Linked DNA regions of Styela clava. The protein of the gene in region 1 purifies or fractionates together with the protein of each later gene. This does not show direct contact. Links are inferred from orthologs where the notes say so. Each region holds a gene or a part of one and is shown on either strand. Other genes may lie near its edges.

The links.
Region 2: the proteins of M-phase phosphoprotein 6-like (region 1) and nuclear nucleic acid-binding protein C1D-like purify together in Homo sapiens (co-immunoprecipitation; 3 studies listed by BioGRID and IntAct, counting the BioPlex papers as one, with this or other methods). This does not show direct contact. The link is inferred for Styela clava from reciprocal best matches to the Homo sapiens genes MPHOSPH6 and C1D.
Region 3: the proteins of M-phase phosphoprotein 6-like (region 1) and exosome complex component RRP42-like purify together in Homo sapiens (affinity purification with mass spectrometry; 4 studies listed by BioGRID and IntAct, counting the BioPlex papers as one, with this or other methods). This does not show direct contact. The link is inferred for Styela clava from reciprocal best matches to the Homo sapiens genes MPHOSPH6 and EXOSC7.

What each region holds. Positions count from the first base shown.
Region 1 is NC_135253.1:11,374,961-11,382,756, forward strand, and holds the start of M-phase phosphoprotein 6-like, read left to right. Parts: upstream 1-4,402; 5' UTR 4,403-4,539; coding exon 4,540-5,043; 3' UTR 5,044-5,723; intron 5,724-6,123; 3' UTR 6,124-6,230; intron 6,231-6,714; 3' UTR 6,715-6,799; intron 6,800-7,114; 3' UTR 7,115-7,796. Other genes in the region: protein arginine methyltransferase NDUFAF7, mitochondrial-like, read right to left, coding at 1-29, 245-487. UniProt on the Homo sapiens protein: RNA-binding protein that associates with the RNA exosome complex. Involved in the 3'-processing of the 7S pre-RNA to the mature 5.8S rRNA and play a role in recruiting the RNA exosome complex to pre-rRNA; this function may include C1D.
Region 2 is NC_135252.1:10,622,697-10,629,177, forward strand, and holds nuclear nucleic acid-binding protein C1D-like, read left to right. Parts: upstream 1-4,508; 5' UTR 4,509-4,559; coding exon 4,560-4,682; intron 4,683-5,202; coding exon 5,203-5,559; 3' UTR 5,560-5,786; downstream 5,787-6,481. Other genes in the region: uncharacterized protein LOC120342968, read right to left, coding at 528-758, 1,208-1,303, 1,594-1,711, 1,870-1,952, 2,251-2,332; protein FRG1-like, read right to left, coding at 6,316-6,481. UniProt on the Homo sapiens protein: Plays a role in the recruitment of the RNA exosome complex to pre-rRNA to mediate the 3'-5' end processing of the 5.8S rRNA; this function may include MPHOSPH6.
Region 3 is NC_135257.1:17,235,043-17,242,803, forward strand, and holds exosome complex component RRP42-like, read left to right. Parts: upstream 1-4,830; 5' UTR 4,831-5,054; coding exon 5,055-5,924; 3' UTR 5,925-6,130; coding exon of another isoform or gene 6,131-6,645; 3' UTR 6,646-6,741; downstream 6,742-7,761. Other genes in the region: katanin p60 ATPase-containing subunit A-like 2, read left to right, coding at 344-433, 754-826, 1,783-1,890, 2,893-3,024; peroxisomal membrane protein 11A-like, read right to left, coding at 6,131-6,645, 6,742-6,857, 6,945-7,000; Parkinson disease protein 7 homolog, read right to left, coding at 7,596-7,750. UniProt on the Homo sapiens protein: Non-catalytic component of the RNA exosome complex which has 3'->5' exoribonuclease activity and participates in a multitude of cellular RNA processing and degradation events.

The DNA.
Region 1 (7,796 bases):
CCCAGCATATCTTTATGAACATAATATCCCTGGTGTAAACGAAGATAGGATAAGATCTACGATATCATGGAAATAGCATTCCCATATTATCTTCAGTAATTATGCAGTCCATCATAAACAATATGGATGGATAAAAAGATATAGTGAAAGCTTGATATTAAAATTACTTCAGATGAACAAAATCAGATGCCTCAAAACAAAACATACACCAAACTTTGAGTTCCAACCAGATCAAAGTGCTTACTGCATGAGGGGTTGTTAAAACTTCTTTCATGTATTGTGCAACAGAAATCGGTCCAGAGTACTTGATTTGTTTGCAGATTGAAGTTGCAAGATTGCTTGAGAACGACCGAAAACCACTACAATATAATCTCATTCGAGGTAGATGCGGTAATAAGCTGAGTGCACGCTTCATTACGTTTGCTTTAAGCAAAACTCCCTCGCAACTGAAACGAATGCAAGAAATGTGCGCACAACTCCAACTCATTTACAAAATCTTGGGAACTCAGGGAATTCCCCTTACCAAAATACAACTTGTGCCAGATTTAAAAAAAAAACTCATGTCTCATACCCCAGGTTGAAAAAAATATCTACATCGAATTCATCTTCAAAAATAACATTTTATTACACAAACTTTGGTTTATACAAGCTTTTATAATATGCTATTAAGAACGATTAGTGAACTTATTTTAGGTTTTTGTTGAAAACTATTATCCCCATTGAAAGTGTAAAATTATCCAGAGAATATAGATTCCGTCTCCAAAGAGGTTGAAAATATGACCCCAATTACAATTGAAACACCCCAAATTCAGGCTCCACGCCCTATCTTCTTTCGAAATTAAGGTTCATTTAGATTTTAGACAAAGTGCATCTGATGTCGTCTTCAGATCGTCGAGTAAACCCCTAATCACCAGGTAATTCTTTTATGTGAATAGCCTACTTGTTAATTGTACACTAACAAATGTCTATTGTCACAAAACGAGCGGAAGCATTGATCAACTAAAATGGTAACAGCAATGTAATTGCTTCACGTTATAATAATTATTATTAGGTACTCTTTTGAGTCCGAGGGATTTCATTGAAATCAAATTCGGGGGGGTCGTTAAGGGTTGAGTATAAAGGACAACAAACCCGCTAACCCAGGGGTGCACAACACGAGGCACGCGTGCCAAATTTGGCACGCCATACGCTCAAACGTGGCACGCGAACGGTTTCGTAAAAAATCACATTTATATCAAAATCAGCAGTTTTTCAGGTTATTAAATTGTTTCAATAAACAGATATTCGTATTATGTATTATTATTGAAATTTGTTTGATGTGTGTTTTACGGGAGTTCATGTACAGAGGTTGTTTCCCCGACATCGACTTGTTTATTTCGTGACATTGGCCAATCAGCAAGGTGCAAAAAGTGACGCTCAGACAGATTTTAAGGCCTGTTCGTAAACATTACTTCGTTTTTGAATTCTATTCGTTAGTTTTCAGTTGTATTTCAGATATGTAAATATATATAAAATAATTCAATGATAACTTTGTCTTCTTAGGAGTTTCAGTTTAATTGCAGTAATCAAAAGTTAGTGTATATATATATAGCTGTGATAGAATAGGCTAAAAAATTTTATCGATATTTAAAAAAACAGATTGTTGAATGCAATGAATCAGAATGATGGCTTGAAATAAGTGTCCCAATTTACAGGCGCCAACCACTCTTAAGATAAGCAACGAAAATTTTGAAATGGTAAAGTATGGGAAGAATTTTACGGAGGTCAGAGGTCGTGGAATGTCCATACCAACGATTGTGCATGGCACGCGACAAGATTATTTTGAAAAATTTGACACGTGTTCTCATTTGAGTTGTGTACCCCTGCGCTAACCCATCAGTAGACAACAACAACGAAAAAAAAAACAAAAAACACGTGCGTTTACTGTCCGACAAGACCAGGGAATGCATCTGTGCATACAAATGCAGGTATTGCGTATGGCAGTATGGTGTTACAGAAACGTTGTTAACTTTGTTAAGTATGATAGATTTACAAAGAATCAAAGTATTTTAGGAATTCGAGTGGAAAGACAATATGATAGCACATTTGAACTGTATCAGTGTATGCCACAATAAGAAACGATGATTCATTTTTACTTTATTGTGTGCTTGTTTCTTCGCGTTCATTTGTCAGTTCGTCTACTGTTACTACAGGGGTGGTGACTCCACTACGGCCCATGGGCCGGGGCCACGGCCCATCTAATTGGGCCACATGGGCCGTGGCCCATCAAGCTATGGGCCGCGGCCCCGTCAGAAAAAATTCAATTATCTTACCAAAATTTTCAATTTCTACAAAATTGTCATTATTCGAACCAAAAAATAAACTCCTGTAGTATGTGTACCAGGTTAGGGACTTAGGGTTAGGGCAAAATTTTGTTCAGATTTTTTACATTATAGTTCTATTATGAGTTTGGGGACTGTCTGTGTTAGCCAAGTGAATAGTTCCTTTACACAACTTGATGGGCCGTGGCCCATAGCCTGATGGGCCTAGGCCCAATTTGATGGGCCGTGGCCCCGGCCCATGGGCCGAAGAGGAGTCACCACTTCCACTCTACTGTTATACTCGCAAGATGTTTGCTAGCAAGTACATAGCCTACACGTTAGATAGATTACTGTCAGATAGCCTTTGATTGTTATGTGACTAATATGTGAAATTGTTTTTCTTTAAAAAAATAGGAAAAAAATATATGCAATTTATTTCGTTATTTTGAAAACACAACACTTGTACAGTTGTATCGTACATACAACTTCTCCAATCAACCATGTAGGATGAAACAAACAGCAAAATTCAATCAGTGGTGTCTTAAAACAGCAAATTTGATTTGTATTACGGTATATCAAAACTAATGTCTGAATGTTATGTAACAAAATCAAATTTTGTTCAGTCTTATTATCTGTGTCATGTGAGAAAGTAAACAATCATGCTACTATCCATTATATTTTGTAGGTATCGATGATGCTACAGTTGAAAATGTTATGCAAGTTACACTATTTCAACATATTCAGATATTGGACACCAAAACATAGAGTAGACCAAGGCTTCCCAAACTTTTGAGCTCGTGGCCCTTTTTGATATATTAAAGTTTTTCGCGGCCCTTGTTCTCGCTAATAATGCTAAAAAGTTCTAAATATGCATTTTTGATAATTCATTGACACAGCTAATTCTTAACTTTTAATAGGGCTACTCAATAACAAAAACATCTTTACTCAGATTATTCAATGTAATGGATGCGAATCTTTCTTTCTTAATTCTGCCTAGTTTTTCTTTAAAATGCTCGAAACTCACTCATGTTCCATAAACTCGGTTCAGCAAATGAATAAATTGCGGCCAACGAAATTGCAGCATTAGGGTTTACCTGTTACGTAACAGAAAGTAAATAATTTAGAACGATAAAATGAATTATACACATCATTTGCTCTAATGAGAAACAATAAAACATTTAAAATAAATAAAATATGTGATATGTTTCGAGGCGCACTGAGCAAATCGCCTTCCGGAACCGCTAGCATGGCGATTAAAGCCGGCATTGTTATGCAAGCACGCAAATCGGGTCTTAGGATCAGAATATACATTGTAATGCAAGCGCGATGATTCTACCGTTTAATTCTGATAATTCGGTTTTCTGTAGATAAAGATTATTTATTTCTACTATGTTCAAAAAGCGTTGCGCACCACATCTCCTTTGCGATTTCGTATTTATATTAAGCAGGTTTTTCTACCATGGCCCATTAAATTTGATTTCACTGACTGTTGTTAGATTTTGTTTGTTCGTTTATATTTATATAAAACTCATTGCAAAACTTGAGCATATTTCTGGAGGTCGTCACAATACAATTAAGTTCGAAAACTACTGAGTCCTATAGTTGAAAGAAATCTACTTTTTAAATTGTTAATAACCTATATGTAGCCGCTATTTTAAATGGAAACGTGCTATTAAATTGGTATCATATTTGGGTATTCATATTTCGTATATTAATCTTGTATTCTCTACACTCTCCTAAAATGAGCTCCAGTGTTCAAAAGAAAATTGATGACAATGTCTTATTTTCGGGAAAACACGGTGTGATGATGTATATTCACTCGGAATCGTGAAATTATCGTTTTACACTATTTTTAATGATTGTATTTTAAATTAAGAGTCTGAAAAAGTGCAATAGATATAGTACTTTGTGTAAAATTGGTGTTCTCTTCGCACCCCCTAGAATTCGTTTTGCGGCCCCTCCCAGGGCCGCGGCCCCTAGTTTGGGAAGCCCTGAAGTAGACAACAACAACAGGCATAGAGAACAAAATAATTTTTTTACATACTACATAGTCTTAACATTGTAGTTTCATAGTTGCTTAATGCTGTATTGATACATCTTTTTTTATTATATCCAATTCTAGTTAATTTGGCATTCGAATACTGGTTGAATAGAAATATTCACACTCAAACTGCAAAACTTAACTCCATATTTCATATCTGGTTTTCTGAGCACCTGTGACCGACATTCAGAATTCGTTATGGATCTTTCTATCCATGTTCGGAGAATGAAATTTATGCAAAGGGGTCAATCTGAGGAAACAAATAAATCACTGCAAGAGACAAGTGGAAAAATAATAAATGATGAACAATGGGAAATTGAGTTGCCAACATTATCTGAGAAATGCAGTAAATATGACACAGTAGATATAACAGAACTATGTGATCTCAGATATGGACGAATGTCATTCCAAGGTTTTAATAAACTAACAGAAAAAATGACAAAATATTGGAATAATGAAGCAGTTGAAGATGAAGAAAGAAAATCTGATGAAGATAGTATTGGTTCAATATCAGATGAAGAAATGGCCGACAGATTTACTACTCTAGTTGGAACAGTTGCAAAAAAATATCTTAATAAGAAAAAAGTACCGAAACGTTCGAAAGGCAAAAGAAAATTGATTGACACAGAAAAAGGAACTTTTGATGCAAAGCAAAGAAAACAAGATTCGTCATCATTTTTTATTAAACCTGCAGATGACTAAATTGATACTTATGCGGCCCCTTGTCCTTGTCATGTAGTTTAGATCCAGAAATGAATGACATTGTGTCATTGCAAAATATGATATTCATTGCAATATAATATACAGTACTTCCACCTTGTATGCAATGAAGTGTAACTATCCCTTTATGCTGAATGTGATTCGATGGATAATGAGACATATAGCAATTAGGATTAACACAAAAGTTTTTTGAAGATACCAACTGCTAATTAAACCGCTGTAACTTATCACAAAAAACAGTCTTTAACTATTGCGGTCATACCATATCTGTTTCATAAGTATAAAGTTATGAATACAATTAGTTATATTTTTCACACCATCAATTCTGTAGACTACAATAAATTAGCATTGATGGTATGCTTGAAATTGTTTGTTCATTAAAATATCATGATTTTTACTTCATTGTTATAAGATTATATCCTAATGAATATAACTTCATCGGAAAATTCTACATTAATAAAACAATAGTAACATTTTTCTGTTACTGTATTGCCTAATTAACAAATTGAATATTTTAGCACATTGGTAATATCGTATTCTGAAATGGAATTCTATGGTTTCTTTGATTTATATTTAAACGGCCCCTCGCAGGGCAAACTATTTTCACGGAAATTGCGATTGAGGTGTCACAATCAGTAGAAGAGATCAATATAAAAAATTGGGTAAGTTAATTTTTTCTTATAGATATATAATTAATATAATGTATGATAAAGTTGTTGAATGTTTAATTGTTATTGAAAAGATCTAGTTGTTGAATGCTTATGCAACAATTCGGATGGCAGAGTTTACCAGGACAATATTTAAAAAGTCATAAAAATATGAAATTCTGTATCTAATTCCAGGTACAGTACAAGGACGAACTTTGATGTCATGACATCAGCAAATCTGTCAATTCTTTTATTTTGTTCTTGCAGAAAAAATATTCCACGTTACCAATAGATAATACACACTTTATTAATCGCTAAAAATGCTGATTCTATCATATTGTGGCAGTGTGGAAAATTATAATTTTCAAATATGATAGTATTTAGTAGTATTTCAAATAGTATTTTTACTGTTCAGCTGAAATCAAATGCTCATGTAAGAATTGTTCGTTTTCTTCCAACTCACACATGGCAATACGGAGGAAAGGAAAGAAAGAAAAAGAAATGGTGGAAAATATCCAGAAGGTATGTGATTTTTTCGAGAAATATTACGATACTTTGTCAGTGTTAGGTTATTAACTGGATAACCTAAAAAAATAGCAATTACCTATAAGCCTACTGAGTTTACATTCAAACTTGACTGTTAGGTTTTAAGACCAGGTAAATTTGCTGAGGTAAAAAACTATTTGCTATTTTGTTTGTGTGATTAAATCATTAATTGAATGAAAGTAAAAGTTCTGAATAGAATTGAAAGTTGTGCAATTTTGAAAAAAGATTTTAACAAATAAATCTTTCGATTGATTCAAATGATTCTTTGTTTTGTTAAATGTGCTAACGTATTAGATATGTTTATTATTCACTATTCAAAGGTTGCATAATTTTTTATTTGAATGAATTCCCTAATCATGCACACTAGTGCTAATATAACAATGATAATATTTCAAAATATTGTATGATATAAAACGTGTGTCAAACATTTTTCATATTATTTTACTTTTCATATTTGCAGATAATGATTGATGAAATACAAGTTATTGTCGATTTATACTAGAACAATCATAGGAGATACAGGCCTTCATTATTATCATGGATTGGTATGAAATATTTGAGTAAAAACAATTTCTAATCGAATGCCAATCGAACAGCATCACCATTTAGTGTTTTGAAGGACTGAAAATAATAAGGCAGTACTGGAACTCAATTTGATATAGTAGTGATTGCAGTAATAGAAAAAAATGGGACCTCCTGAAGTATGCGCACCAAGATGGCGCACAACCTGAACTAGGGTTGTGTACCAGGTTATGGTTCAGGTTGTGCGACATCTTGGTGCGCATACCTCAGGAGTATCAAAAAATTTCGACACAGGTTTTCAATGTCATAAAGGGCAAATAAAAACAATTTCCTCTCAGGTCTCTGACATGAGGAAATAGTTGAACTCGTTCAAGAGCCATCCAATGAAGTTGTGTCAATCACGTCATGCACTGGCTTGGGTTACTTATAAATGAGGGATTGACGACTAGCGAATGGTCTGTTCGTACATATCTACTCAAGTTTGCTCTTGCAAAGGTACCCACATCACCACAATCATGGATTGAAGTATCGGGTTCTTCTGTCATTTTCGATTAGTTCAATTTAAAATCCGTTCCAATGCTTCAACATTAATATCGAATTTCCACGAACGACCACCATTCCAACAGGTGCAGTGGTCCCGTCTTTTCTTTGCTCTGTTCCATCATCCACAACGAGATTCATAAAAGAATAAAATCTCTCGCTATGATCCAGGAGTTCTGTGGAACAGAATTATTCTTTTCCAATATTTAAAGGAAACAGATATCTATATGATAGTTGTTTGATGAAATTTAATACAATGGACATGGCAATAACAATTGTTTCAGTTGTATGAATTGTTGAAAAGAAGGTCAAAAGAATCGTGCTTTTTCAATTCAATAAATGTCCGAAGATCAATAAAATGCACTTTGTGTGTGTTGTTTAGTGCGATATAGTTATTACAATCTGGGAATTCCGAAGTAATGTGAATGGCTCTTTGGGTAGCACCATATGGGTGAAGAATAGTATAAATTTATTAGAATA
Region 2 (6,481 bases), on another chromosome or scaffold:
CAATTATATTCTATGCAATATACGCATAGATAGAGTAATAGCTTTTTTAATATCACTGTAGATATTTTATCATATTTATCCAATATGGTGACCGTACATTTGAACCCATGTACATTTGAACCCATGCGTATATCCACGGGTTCAGTCTATATGCGGGTGCTAAAACCCATGGGTTAGGGTTAGTATGGGTTTAACTATCCGTGAAACAAAAAAAAATTCCATAGGTGCAATAGCATACAGGTGCAATTGTCATGGGTTCAAATGTACGTGGGTTCAAATGTAATGGAACCATCCAATATACCAATTTTTACCAAATTCTCCACTGTAAAATTGAGCCATTCATAACATATAATGGTGAATTAACTTTTTCGCTGGATATATATATAATATTCTATATAAGATGAAAAGATATAGCCTACATATTTTGGAGATGAGTCTTCTGCAGCATGAAATAAAGAATTTTTTTTTAATTGAGCTCTTTGACCAACTTGAAAATCACAATCATATTTATAGTGTAACAACAATACCTTTAAATTCAACCGATTTGGAATTGACACTTGAGACACTAACAGAGTCAGTCAGTGATGCTTTACTTCCAATTCCCGATTCATAACTATCATCTGATAGAGTCGATTTACAAGTATATTTTGAAAAACTAGATGGAGATGGTTGAGAATGTTTTTTGTTCTGGTGCTTATTGAATTGTTGTTGTTCGGTGGATTTGGTTTGATCTTCAAAGTGAACTGAGGTTGTAACATCTATGAAAAAAAAATAATGCTCATATGTGCTTAAAGGTGAAATGAATATTTAGCCACCGAAGTTTATATCAATGTTAAAAGAATTGTATGAATGTTATATAAAGGTGTGCCCATGAACTATAAAATCCAGAATATTTTAGTGGCGTAATGAAAATTTGAGAAAGGCAATAGCCTTCCAACGACTTTTTTCATCTTAAAGTTTGAAATTTTGAAGTCGATTAGTATATTAATTGCAGCAGAGCGTTTTCACAACATTAACAATAATTTTGCAAACGATCCATAAGTTCACTTTGTGTCCACTGTTTTGCTCTCCATCATTGCAAATGGTGAATTGGTGATGCTGCCTAATTTGACCTAATTTTGCCATTACAAAAAGTAAATACGAATTAAAAAGCAATGACCAGAGCAGAATTCAAGTACATCTGAGGGAATAACAGAATATAACAAACCTATTCCATATTTGGCAAATACTTCTTTACACCCTTTATGTCGAGTTATATCAGGAGCTGTCTGACCTTTGTCATTCTTGATTTTAGCATCTCCACCTGAAAGTATTACAATGTACATTTCATAAAAATCTAATACACATGATGTGTATAAATATCTTTACAATTTCGAAGATTTATCATACAATTCATATGGACACCCTGTATATCAAGACGACTGCCAGCTAAATACACATTTAAATATTTCAATGCATAGATAGTTATACCAGTGATTCGGCACTTTTAAGTAAGTATTATGTTTCAATGACAAGGTGCATACAGTACGAATGTTATCGCTCGGTGCTTGTAATACCTCGGTACTTGGAATTAAACTTAAGTTCTATTCATACCATTTGACAAGAGTAATTCGAGACATTTTGAGTGACCTTCTGATGCTGCATAGTGTAATGCAGTAGATCCATTCAACAAATCTTTACAATTAGGATCCCCACCATACCGCAATAAAACCTAAATAAGATAATCAGCTTTTGAATAAATCAGTGTCATAAAAATGAAATCTTGACAAAACTAATTAGAGATTTGAATTGTTAACACAGCATGTACCAAATTGAATGACTCACTACACTTTAATGAAACATCATATAATATAGGAGGTAAACGTTCACCTTTAAAATGTCAAAATCTCCATTATGAGCTGCTTCATGTTGGGAACTCCATTCAAATAATCCAATATTATTGGGATTGAGGCCTAGAAAACAATATATATATTATCAGACTATAAACGACATAGTAATATAAACAGATACCTATTTCCCACTCCCTGACTCTGGAAAATTAGATAAAAATTTTGTTTTTATCAGTTATTTTATCGTTTATTATATGATTATGGAGTCGAAATAAATTTATACTTTAGTACTTAAGTCTCTCTGGGTCCCAGATATGCATACTATCCTAGTTCTGTCTACTTTACCTGTAGTACCGTACTTTATTCCTCATTCAACATATTCTAATACTACAGTATTAATGTTAACTTATATTAATGTTACCTTGTTGAAGAGCACAAATGGTAGACTCCAAATCCCCAACTCTTACTGCTAAATGTAATTCATCGTCCACTAATTCATCCATTCCTATTTCGGTAGTGATTCCTGAATTATGATCTGTATAGGCTGAAATATATTTATGTTACATCACGTCCATCATCATTCATTCATTTGATTGCATTAAAATCCATGCAAATGTGGCAATTACCAATCTGCCGATGTCGTGAATTATGTGACTGGCTCAATTTATACTATCATATCTGCAAACAACATACTGCCGTATTAGATTGTATGAAATGTAACTCGCCGCACTACAGAAATAGACTACCAACTTATTGCAGTACTGTATCAACTGTACCGTATAAGCTGACAGCTAACAGGCTGGACAAAACTTCAAAAGTGTAAACAGAATTAACCCATTTCGCACAAACGAGTTAGAACATCGTACAGTACGTGGGGTTGCTAGTGTTGAGTGCTTTAAGATGCAGTAATTTCACGGGTAAAAAAACAATGTGTCTCATCCAAAATTGATTACCTATCATAATATTTCGCATTTTATTGTGCTGTTAACCTAGTTCATTCCTTGTTAGGAGAATCTCATTAAAAATAATGATTATGTGCGACGGGTTTTGTCCGACTGCTTGCGGTGGTTGTGTTGTTCACGTAATCGCTCTTTAGCTTCGGATTAGGTCCATCGTCCTCCAATTTGGAAATGAAATGTCGTGTTAACATATCAAAGTAAATCAGAACATCCTATTGTGCGGCATTGCTCGGTGGCTCTGTGGTGTGGCGCATCGTGCTAGGCGTTAGGAATATCCTTGTCATCGCACCTTTGATTACCCTGCTTCGGTTCTCAGGTTCGAATCCCGCGGGGATAATTATGTGGATGGTTTACGACTACGTAATCGCTGGTCGTCGGTTAAGAATTCTTACATCATAAAGTCCATCAATCTAAAACAAATAACTGGCTTACTGATCCCATATCTTACATGGACTGGTAACCGGACGAGGTGGTCTGGGGCTTGGACATATGATTAAGCCGTCTCATCGACTCCAAAATAAAAATAGAATTGTTCTTTTGAAACCGGTTTGTCTCCGAATAAAACAAAAAACGCAATGATACAACATTGTATATACAATTAGGATTAAATATCGCTGATTAAAATTACATGACATCGAATAACATGGGGTTGGACAAAACGTTGCATGATAGCGCAGGTCAGGGGTCACCAAACTACGGCCCGCGGGCACAATCTGGCTCCTGGCGTCCTTTCATATGGCCCGCAATAACACGATAGAATGACTAATTTTTTTTCCGATGGATGGTTCCCCGAGCATCGACTTCTTTGTTTGTTTCGTAACATTGGCCAATTAGCAAGATGCAAAACGTGGCGTAACAATAGACCTTTTAGCAATCGCCCATACATTTTTGTCACTCAGACAGATTTTCAGTCGTGCCTCGTGATTGTAAACAATATACCTCGTTTTCGCGATTTTGAATGCTATTCGTGTTTTTGTTTGTGTTTCGGAAATTTAAGTATGAATTAAATAAGTCAATCATCATTTTTTATTCAGCCCTAGGAGTTGTAGTTTAATCGTAAATATATACTTTAATTGCAGTAATCAAAAATTAGTCTAGAAAATAGCTGTGATAAAATAGGCTAAAATTCTCTACCGGCAACGTTTTCTGCAAAAACTGTTGCTGTGTACGTTTCTCGTGCTAAAATAAACATTTTCGCTAATAGTACTGTAATCTCTCACGTACTGCTCAATAGTATATATTGAAAAAATTTTGAAAGCTAAACTCAAATTTCACAAGTCACATTAACCCTTTTGTACTGCTTACATGCAGATATTCATGACAGCAATTGTTTTGCTAACAGCTAACCTCAGGATAGTTGTCTAAAAATCTTATATACAGTATTTGGGTTGCTATGATGTTCTTGATATATATTCTGCGATATAAAATATGATATTCAAAACTTGTATAATTTATATTGTTGACTGAATTGAGTGGATTTCCCAACGTTTGTGAATTTATTGTATTGCATTGACAAAAATATTTGTCCGGCCCGTTTTAAACAAAGTTTGAGTCATACCTGGCCCTCGGTCAAAAAAGTTTGGTGACCCCTGGCGCAGGGTTTGATCGTAATAGCAGAGCCATTATATAACGGCTTTGGTTGTAGTATATACCGTATTCACGGTTTGATAGGTTATTAAAAGATATGCCTCTAGTGGCCGATTTTCAAGAACTCCGGCTTCATGCGTTGTATTGTATTTTTCTGGTGTTTCACACCAAATCAGTGAGTACGATGTCTTCCAGTGAGGGCGAGGATATTCCTCATGAATTGGAAGAATGTTTTGAAAGTTTCAGCGATTCCCTTGATAAAGTGGAAAGTGCTATCAAGCCTTTGTTGGACACGCCGCGTAATAAGGTTTGTATAAATGCTAAATACTATAAGATACCGGTAATTCAGTAATACATTATCTGTAATAGGATGGTCAGATCCTAAGAGTTTAAATGCCCAATCTCATAATATTAGATAGTTCGAGAGTTAACTTTTAAATGACGCAAATACTTTCTCAGTATCTCCATACTGCTGTACTGTATTACAGGGTCAAGTTAATTGTATGCTGGTATGTGTCAATTTTGCATGTTGACTCATTTTCGGTTTTGTTTTACAGGAGGCCCCTGCAAAACTAGAAGTTCTTGGTAAAGTGGGCATATAATTATGCTTCCACTCTAATATCAGAATGTTACATGACGATCTTGTTACTCATTAAACTGACTCAATTTCTGAATTGAGAGACCATTGTTTTTGGATTATGGATATGTTTTGGGTCTTCATTGTCATAGTACTGTACCACATCATCACAAACATTCATAGCACCTTTTAATGATGGCCAAGATCAGTGTCGCACAATATAGTTTATTTCATTTCACTTTATTTTTAGATACTTCAAGACCTTACACCCTTGGATGTTGCAAAACTAGAACTTGTTTCAGCATACTCCATCAATTCAATGTTTTGGACTTATCTGATAACTCAGGGAGTCAATCCCAGAACACATCCAATTAAAGGAGAATTGGATAGGATAAAGATATACATGGGTAAAGTGAAAGAAATAGAAGACCGAGCAAAAGCTCCAAAGCTAGAAAAAGAAACTGCAAAACGTTTTATAAGAAATGCGATGTTTGATCTCGATGATAAAAATAAAGAAAAACAGGAAAAGTCGGACAGTAAAGGTGCTGCAAAAAGACACTCAAAGCATCATGATCACAAATCCAAAAAGAGGGCGAAAAAAAAGTGAAATGGAAAGGCATGATACCATTCTAAAAATTGGTCTTAAGTTATGAAATCCATCCAAGCATCAGTGAAGGTGGATAGCAACTGATTGAAAAGAGCAATGGAAAATAAAGATTAAGGTTGGCTAGTAAAAATGCCGGCTAGTATAGTCAAAAATTCACAATTGCTATTCTCCGTTTTTAATTATAAAAAACTTTTTTGAATGAAATAAAACAACGAAATGCCAGTAAATGTGTCTAATAGTCTGGATCACAACCAACGACAGCACTCTGAAAGACCAACATACTCTCATCAAAATGCCATGTGTATTGTTGGCGCACACATATATTTATCAGGTAGAAAAACACACTGTCATTGTTAACTTGCAATAGTCATAACCACAAAGCCTATGAATATGAAGCTGTTTCAATAAAGCCTTAGTTATGCTTCATGCCAGCATCAAAAATTTCTCAGCATGTACTGCGTAACATTCTATTCACAAAACGCAACATTTGAAAACAATACATTTTAGACTCTATAAAATATCAGTAACACTGTGTCATGTGTCGTTTATATATACTGTATAGTGCTTCTGTGAATGATCTGAAGCACGTCTTCATCAACCTATGGCTATCAAAGTGATGTTTAGTAGAATTCATATATATTTTGTGCCACGTCAGCAATGAAAACTGTTTCCTCGATCGTAACAGACCCCCCTTTTTCCAAGCTATACACATTCTTCCTCATTCGACTTACAGCATATGCCGCATGTTGCCAAATTTCACACTTTGCAGTAGCGATCTGCCTTCATCTTAGATCTTCTGTCAAGTAGTGCTTCATGAAGTTTTCCTGAAGATTTAGCTTGGTCCAATTTAGAACTATCATCTTCATTAATTCTGAGCCTTCTATCTTGAAAGCTCTGAAACTTTTTAACATAATTAACTTCA
Region 3 (7,761 bases), on another chromosome or scaffold:
CTGCTGATTGCTGTCTCTGGAAATCATAATTCTTTTTGTTACCCATTTCAATCAAGTAAGGACATCATTTTGATTATGTGACAGCTTATATGCTTCGTCAAACTTAAAACACACTACACTATATATATAAATAGGGTTAATTTGAATAAAATTATGGCCTAACCCTAACCTGGTACACACACTACGGAAGTACCCATTATTATTTGTAACTTTATTAGGCATCAATCGTTGGTGCGTGGTAAGTTATTGGGTATATCTTTCTTCTGTCATCATTAACTCGGAGCCATGAAAAATTCCTGTCTGGTGAAGTTCATAAAAAACCTATAATTTATTTCTTGCACAGGGAATTAGATCATGCAATGCTTCGTCGTCTGGAGAAAAGAATACTTGTTGATCTTCCAAATCATGAAGCAAGAAAATCTATGTTTTATAGGTGAGTGATTGAAAAGGGAGTTTAAATTTAGACCAAGCAAGTCAAACTAGTACAATCCAATCCAGGGTTTCTCTATATGACTACATTAATTCAAGGAAATTTGATTTGTCTATTTCTTCAACTAGGAGACATTTCTGCTTTTACTCAGGTTTTTTTTGCTATTTATTATTATACATGGCGCTTGAAATATTGGATGAAAACTAATTTAAACCAAAACTAGGTATTTTTGTTGAAGAACCAGCGGCACCAAGTGTTGAGAGTTTTTTAGTAAGCCACAGATCAAGAATCACTAATCCAACCAATTTCAATGTTCTTTTCAGGTTTCTACCTCCGAAAAATAGTGAAGGAAGTTTGATCATCAACACAAACCTTGATTACGGAGCTCTAGCTGAGGTGATTATAATTTATATTTTGGTTTAACTAACCAGTTAATTTGCCTTCCAATCAATTCAATCAAACTGGTGTAAATACCAACTGGTACTTCTTATTCAGATATTTATGTATAAATTTGTACATTTTCAAATTATTTTATTGTTGTTGATTTTTATTGAAAGCTAGAATTACTTGGTTTCATGGTAGAATGTCGAATGCCTGTTTTGAATGGAATATGAATGTCTGTATTAAAATGCTAGCTATACTGTTTTTCTTCCATTATTTGATGATTGATATCTGATTGTGCATTATTAGACACAAAATGCACTTATCGATTATTGTGCTAAAAATCGTTGTTGTTGCTTGGTGTTTTTTCTTGTTGTTGTTGCTTGGAAATATTCTTTTTCTTCACAACTATTAGGCCGATCGATTTCAAAAAGCTGACTCCTATGGAAACCCTTATGTCACCTATAATTATACTGTTTTATTTTAATTGTAAGTGAAGACTTCTCTATATTGTCACTCTTGACAACTTCCACCACACTTTTCCGATGATCTTTTCATAAAACTGTGTGTTCTGAGACTTTTCTGTACCAGTATCGATACTCCCATAGTATGTGTACCAGGTTAGGGTCAGGCCCTAATTTTATTCTGATTTTCCTCATTCTAGTTCTATTACAAGTTCGGGGACTGTCTGAGTTAGCCAAGTGAATATACTCCCTGTCCATAAGTTTCAGTCCCTCCACACAACTTGATGTAAAGTAGGCAAACAAAACTAGTTATCCCCATATTGGTACACATACTTATGGAGCGCCCAGTACCTATGTGCGAACTCTGCGCTCATATATTTCAGCATTGCTCTTTTGTTTCAAGGAATAAAGGAATTGTTTGTTATAAAGAGAAACTTCCATTAGTACTTCTTAGTTCTTTTCTCTCAACATCACCAGGCAATCAATTCACAATATTCTTTTTTTTAGAAAACTGAGGGATATTCTGGATCAGATCTTAAATTAGTTTGTAAAGAAGCAGCAATGCAAGTTGTCAGAAAAATATTCAATACCTTGGAGAATCATGTTGAAGGAGAAGTAAGTATAGAAAATTATAGGTACTCCTGAAGTATGCGCACCAAGATGTCGCATAACCTGAACCCTAACCTGGTACACAACCTGAGTTCAGGTTGTGCGCCATCTTGGTGCGCATATTTCAGGAGGTCCACATTATATTGCACATACTAAAAGAATTAGACAACAGAATAAAACAATTCCAGATAATTTTTCCATATGTTGGAAGTATCTAAGTTTAGGATTTGTTGTGTTACTATATTATATTGACTATAATTATCTTATCAATGTTTACCAAAGGTCTATTTTAGTTGTCGATTCGGAGAGAGACAGTTTATATGCTTCGTCAAACTTAAAACACACTATACACATATCTATAAAATATAAATAAATGAATGAAACATTTAAGATCAAGTTACCACACCATCATTATTGTGTTATATATATGATATAATTGCACGTGTATAAATTTGACTTGCTGCTTAGTTTGTTACTGCTATGGTGTCTTTGGTTTAAAAAGCTCGTTTCTTACAATAAAGTAGTGTTGTAATGGAAACTTGGTGCTTGTCTAAAAAGAACTAAAGGCAGTACACACAATAAATAAACCACAATGTTTTATTGAGTTCATCGGAGTATTGAACACTGTCTATAATCAATCAGTATACTCTTATATTTTCACACTATGTATAAATCGATCCGTGATTATTTATAAAAAAAGGATCAATTTAAACGCATATCAAGGCAGGGAGCTTCTCAGCAAATGAGAGCCATATCAAACCATAATGATTTGTTCATATCTGTCACACCCAAACTGCTCATGTTTTTGTCTACAACAATGTATGATCCCAACTTTCTTGTTTGAGTTTATTCCTCGAGTCCACAGATGTCATGGAATCATGCATTGTTAATAAGTCTGAAACACCAATAAAACAGTATTACGCTCAGGAGGCCACATAATCTCAGACCCTTGATAAGCTGTATTGCTTTTGTTTATATTGTATCCATAATTTATCTACTTTTCTACAGCAACTTCCAGATTTCACCCTGGACACTATATCAACAGCATGTGTTTTAGATGTTCTTATTCACACTAAGCCATCAACTGCTAAACTGAGCCACAAGTACAAAGACTGGCAAACGAAATATGAATCTGTGTAGTGATTTTGCGGTATTCCAGAGGAACAATTATTACTGAATTAGAAATTATTATAATTCAGTCAAGTATTTCATGACATATGGTCACACTTTATTCACTGTAACTAAGCAAGTCTTAATTTATTCTTGCTTAGTCAAGCCACTTGTACTGTGAAATTTAATTTAGTGCTGTTTAAAAATTTGTACACAACTTTACAATATTTTGTGCACTTTTTTAAAGTGGAAAAAGTACTATGTAGTATTATGTCCGCTTACTAATTGTCACATTTTTATAAGAAAATTTTAGTGATATATTTTCCTATTTCTTTTGTTAAAACCTCTTGTCTGTTGTAAAAGATTAAATTATTATCATTGGTCGTGATTATATGAGGTTGGTTTTGGGCACAGGTTGCTAAGTGTAGGAAATGCTTCATTTACGCTGTATGGGAGGGGGGGGGGTGGTTGCGGGACAATGATCAAGTCCATGCTTTCGAAAACAAATAACTTATTAATCCCATACCCGACTTGGAACAATAACCGGACGAGAGGCCTTGGTTCGCCATATGGATAACCCGTCTTATCACTTTCCTCTCCCCCGGGATAAATATGTAAATTCTATCCATCTCACAACCCAATAAAATCTAGATAAATGTCTAAGACTCATTTATCACGATATTGCTGAATCGGGAATTGTTACAGATGATGGTTAGCAGTGATTCAATATACAGTATAAGTTTGTCCGCTTTTGATTAATTTATAAGATAATTTTTAGCTGAATCGCTTAATTTTTTCACTGGACCAAATGGATATCTTCAGTCGTCTCGTTTTTGTAATCTCAGGTTTTGTTTGTCAGTTTTAAATGATGTTTCCAAATCTTTGTTATGTACAAGAGATGAAAATAGAATTAAACCTGTACATATGCTTAATGCGTCTGAAACAAATAACTGGCCACCATTATTCCATACCTGACATGTACTCGTATCCGGACGAGAGGCGGTGCTTCGCCATATGGTTGAGCCGTCTTAAAGCTTTTATTTTTTTTGAATTCAGCTTATTTACGCCAAATGATGAAAACCGGAGGCGTGTCTAGTAGTCTATCGCAAATTATTCGGGGCTAATTATTGCAACTAAACTGAAGGAAGACATAATAACAATTAAATTATTTGGTGACCGTACATTTGAACCCATGTACATTTGAACCCATGCGTATATCCACGGGTTCAATCTATATTCGGGTGCTAAAACCCATGGGTTAGGGTTAGTATGGGTTTAACTATCCGTGAAACAAAAAAAATTCCATAGGTGCAATAGCATACAGGTGCAATTGTCATGGGTTCAAATGTACGTGGGTTCAAATGTAATGGAACCAAATTATTTGAATTACGACTAATTTTTGGAGACACAACTGAAAACTGACAAAGAACACGCAAATGTCATCGTAGACATAATATTGATTGGACAAGGTTACGGAAATAAACAAGGAAACATCCATGGGCACAGCAGAGCCGTTATATAATGGCTCTGGGCACAGCACAATGAGCACATGGACATGAAATTTTACGAGATCAAAGGTCACGCACGCGGATTTCTTGTATTTGAATTATTTTTTTATTTGCAATCTAAGGTTGGGAGTGTGACTACGAAGAGTACGGTACTGTATCGCTGCTACCGCATTTTGCTCGTCTGTATCTGAGTCTCATTAATTAAGTTGTCGGCGAAGGTACGGTGCCATTTGTAGAGGGTTTTTGGCCTAGATTAGACTATTGTCTGGTAATACACTTACCGGTATACCAGTATACAGAAGTTATACCGTTCAGACGTTAGGTCTTGTTTTCATTCACGTCTTCCAGGTCCTCTGCGTTTTGTTTGTTGTTGTTTTGTTTTATACCAAAGCGACCAAAATAAAATTGATTGATTGACGGTATCTACTTATTTTTCTACTAATCTGCAGTTCTGTAACACAATGAGCGTGCGCTTAATGCTGTAATGTGAACTTAGGTTTCAATTATTACTGTAATAGGTCGAATTGGCGCATTCTACTCTAGTCTGCAAGAATGGCAATTGCAATACTTGGTGATGCAGAAAAGCGCTTTATAATTCATGGAATACAAGAAGATTTGCGGAATGATGGACGAGGTTGTGAAGATTACAGACACATTGATTTGGAAGTAAATCTTGTTTCTAACACAAATGGATCTAGCAGACTGAGAATTGGGAATACAGAACTTCTTGTGGGCGTGAAACTTGATCTCGAAATGCCACTGGCAAATTCTCCTGACCAAGGATTGGTGGACTTTAACATTGACTGCTCCCCAAATGCCACACCACAGTTCCAAGGTAGGGGCGGTGAAGATCTTGCCGCAACCATAAAAAGTTTACTAACAAGAGCCTATAACAATAATCTTGTGTTAGACCTTAAAAGCTTATGTATTGTGCCTGGGAAAAATTGCTGGTCAGTGCATGTTGACGTTCTCATATTAGAATGTGGCGGCAATCTTCTTGATGCAGTGTCGATTGCAGTCTTCGCTGCTTTGTTTGACACATCTATCCCAAAACTGGGAGTGACCGAAGGTGATGAGGGGGAGGTGGAAATTAACTTGCCAGATGATCCATTGGACAGTATCCCCATGAATGTGACTAATTGTCCAATTTTTGTGACTTTGTCAAAAGCTGGTCAGAGATATATTATCGACGCCACAGCCGAGGAGGAAGCATGTTGTTTGGCAAGTGTCATTTTATCAATTATGAAAGATGGCCGCTGTACAGCTCTGCGTAAAGACGGCTCTGGTAGCCTGGACCCACAGAGTATTAGCGAAATGCTAGATGTGGGAAAGAGAGTAGGAATGAATTTACATAAATCTATTTTGAAGTTTCTCAAAAACATGCCAGTTATGAAGTTTAATGACAAAACTGGTTTTCTTTGACTAAAACAATCTGCCTTTTCAGAAAATTCCCAATGCTAATGTTTCCCCATAAATATTACCTAAAATTATATTAGCATTCGTTTTATAATGCTTTATTTTGATATCAGATCAATCATACAAAATTAACGCTTCATTGAAAATAATTGCATAGTATGTATAAGTAAGAATTAGTAGGGGTAGATAGATAATAACAAGCATGTGCTTTGTCAGTTCGGCGTTAATTTCATGGAGGGTTTCGCTATTTGTACTGCAGCTAATAGAGAGGACAACACGCCACATAACCCAACGACCCCGTTATTGAAATTAGTGTATCCCAGACTGTTTGCGGGGATAACTATATCGAATCCATTTTTCAAAAGGTCGATTATTGCTTGTTGATTCTGCTTCACAAAATTGGAAAAGTAGGTCTGGAACGAGATGGATTCTTCGCGCCTTCTTGCATCTCTAGCCAATAGTTGCATATTGATATACAACGAATAGAGATCCCTTGCAAAAGCCATCATCAAAGATGCCAACCAAAACTTGTTCGCGCTCTCTGTCCACTTCTTCAGATCTGCGTGTACCAAGCCAACTTTCCCCATCCATATATAGTGGTCAATGAGAAGGTAGGCTGCTTTATTTGTATGAGAGGTAGTTAGTGTGAGACTCAGAACATAGTTTTGCAAATTTATTGCTCTCTGGGCTGCTCTGAGACTGTCCACACTTTTCCCAAATCTAAATACTGAAAAAAATGTATATTTTTTTTTTATTCAGTAAATTGAGCTTTGGTAATGTGAGATCTGTGTCTGTTGCCAGAATTATTAAAATATAAACTCACATTTTCTGGACGTGCTCATTAATTTTTCCAGCTCTATGAGCATGTTGACTGCATTTTCCTTATTGCCATTTCTCAGTAGATACCATACAAGAAATTTGCTGCCATATTGCGTGACTCTATAAAACATGTTGTATTCAATTACAAGAAATCCCAATTTCTGCACATTTACCTAAAAACAGTCTTGAGAAAAAACAATCAATTACCTATATAATTTGTCTCGACCAGCCGTCTTGTTGCAAAAAGCTAGGAAGTCATCCATTTGAACTTGACCTGATTTATTTTAAAGCTATAGCTCTGGAAATGAAAAAAAGCATTTCTGTCAAAACATCCCAGAATCACATATGTAAAAGGAGTGAATTATGAGGAATACATACTATACAGAAATATATAGTATAAAATACCAGTGGACAGAGGTCGACAATGCTAGGCGCAAAACTGATTTTACTTTTCACTTTACAAGAAAACTCTGCTTGATAAAGTTATTTCACAGGGTGTTTTCACTTTGTGCATGAAATGTTTCAACATAATGGGATTTGGAATCTACCAATCAAAATTACACTATAAAGACCAATGATATGAATGATAAACAAGGGGGCCATGAGTGTTTAAAGTCGGGACGGGCAAGGGGCCACGAGCCATAGCATGTTGGGAATCACTGGTCAAGGCAACATGAAAATATAAACCCAATAAGCGCAGTTAATTGCCATGCAGTCAATGATCTTCCGTATTTTGGGCAATTGAATTGCGTAACTTAGAGACAACTATCAAAAATGAATAAATCAAGCTCAAACAGGGCAAAGATGATGTTTGATGTTATCTAACAGTGAATGATATAAATATAGTCGGTGGGCAAGTTATGGCAAAACCATCGGTCCGGAAATCTTGTCTCGGACTTCCTTTCCCTTCAACATTTCAACTAGCTCTAAAGCAAATTCAAATGATGTTCCTGGACCACGACTTGTGATCAGCTTGTTGTCCTTGACAACCCTTGCCTCAGAATAGATGTACCCTGAAATACAG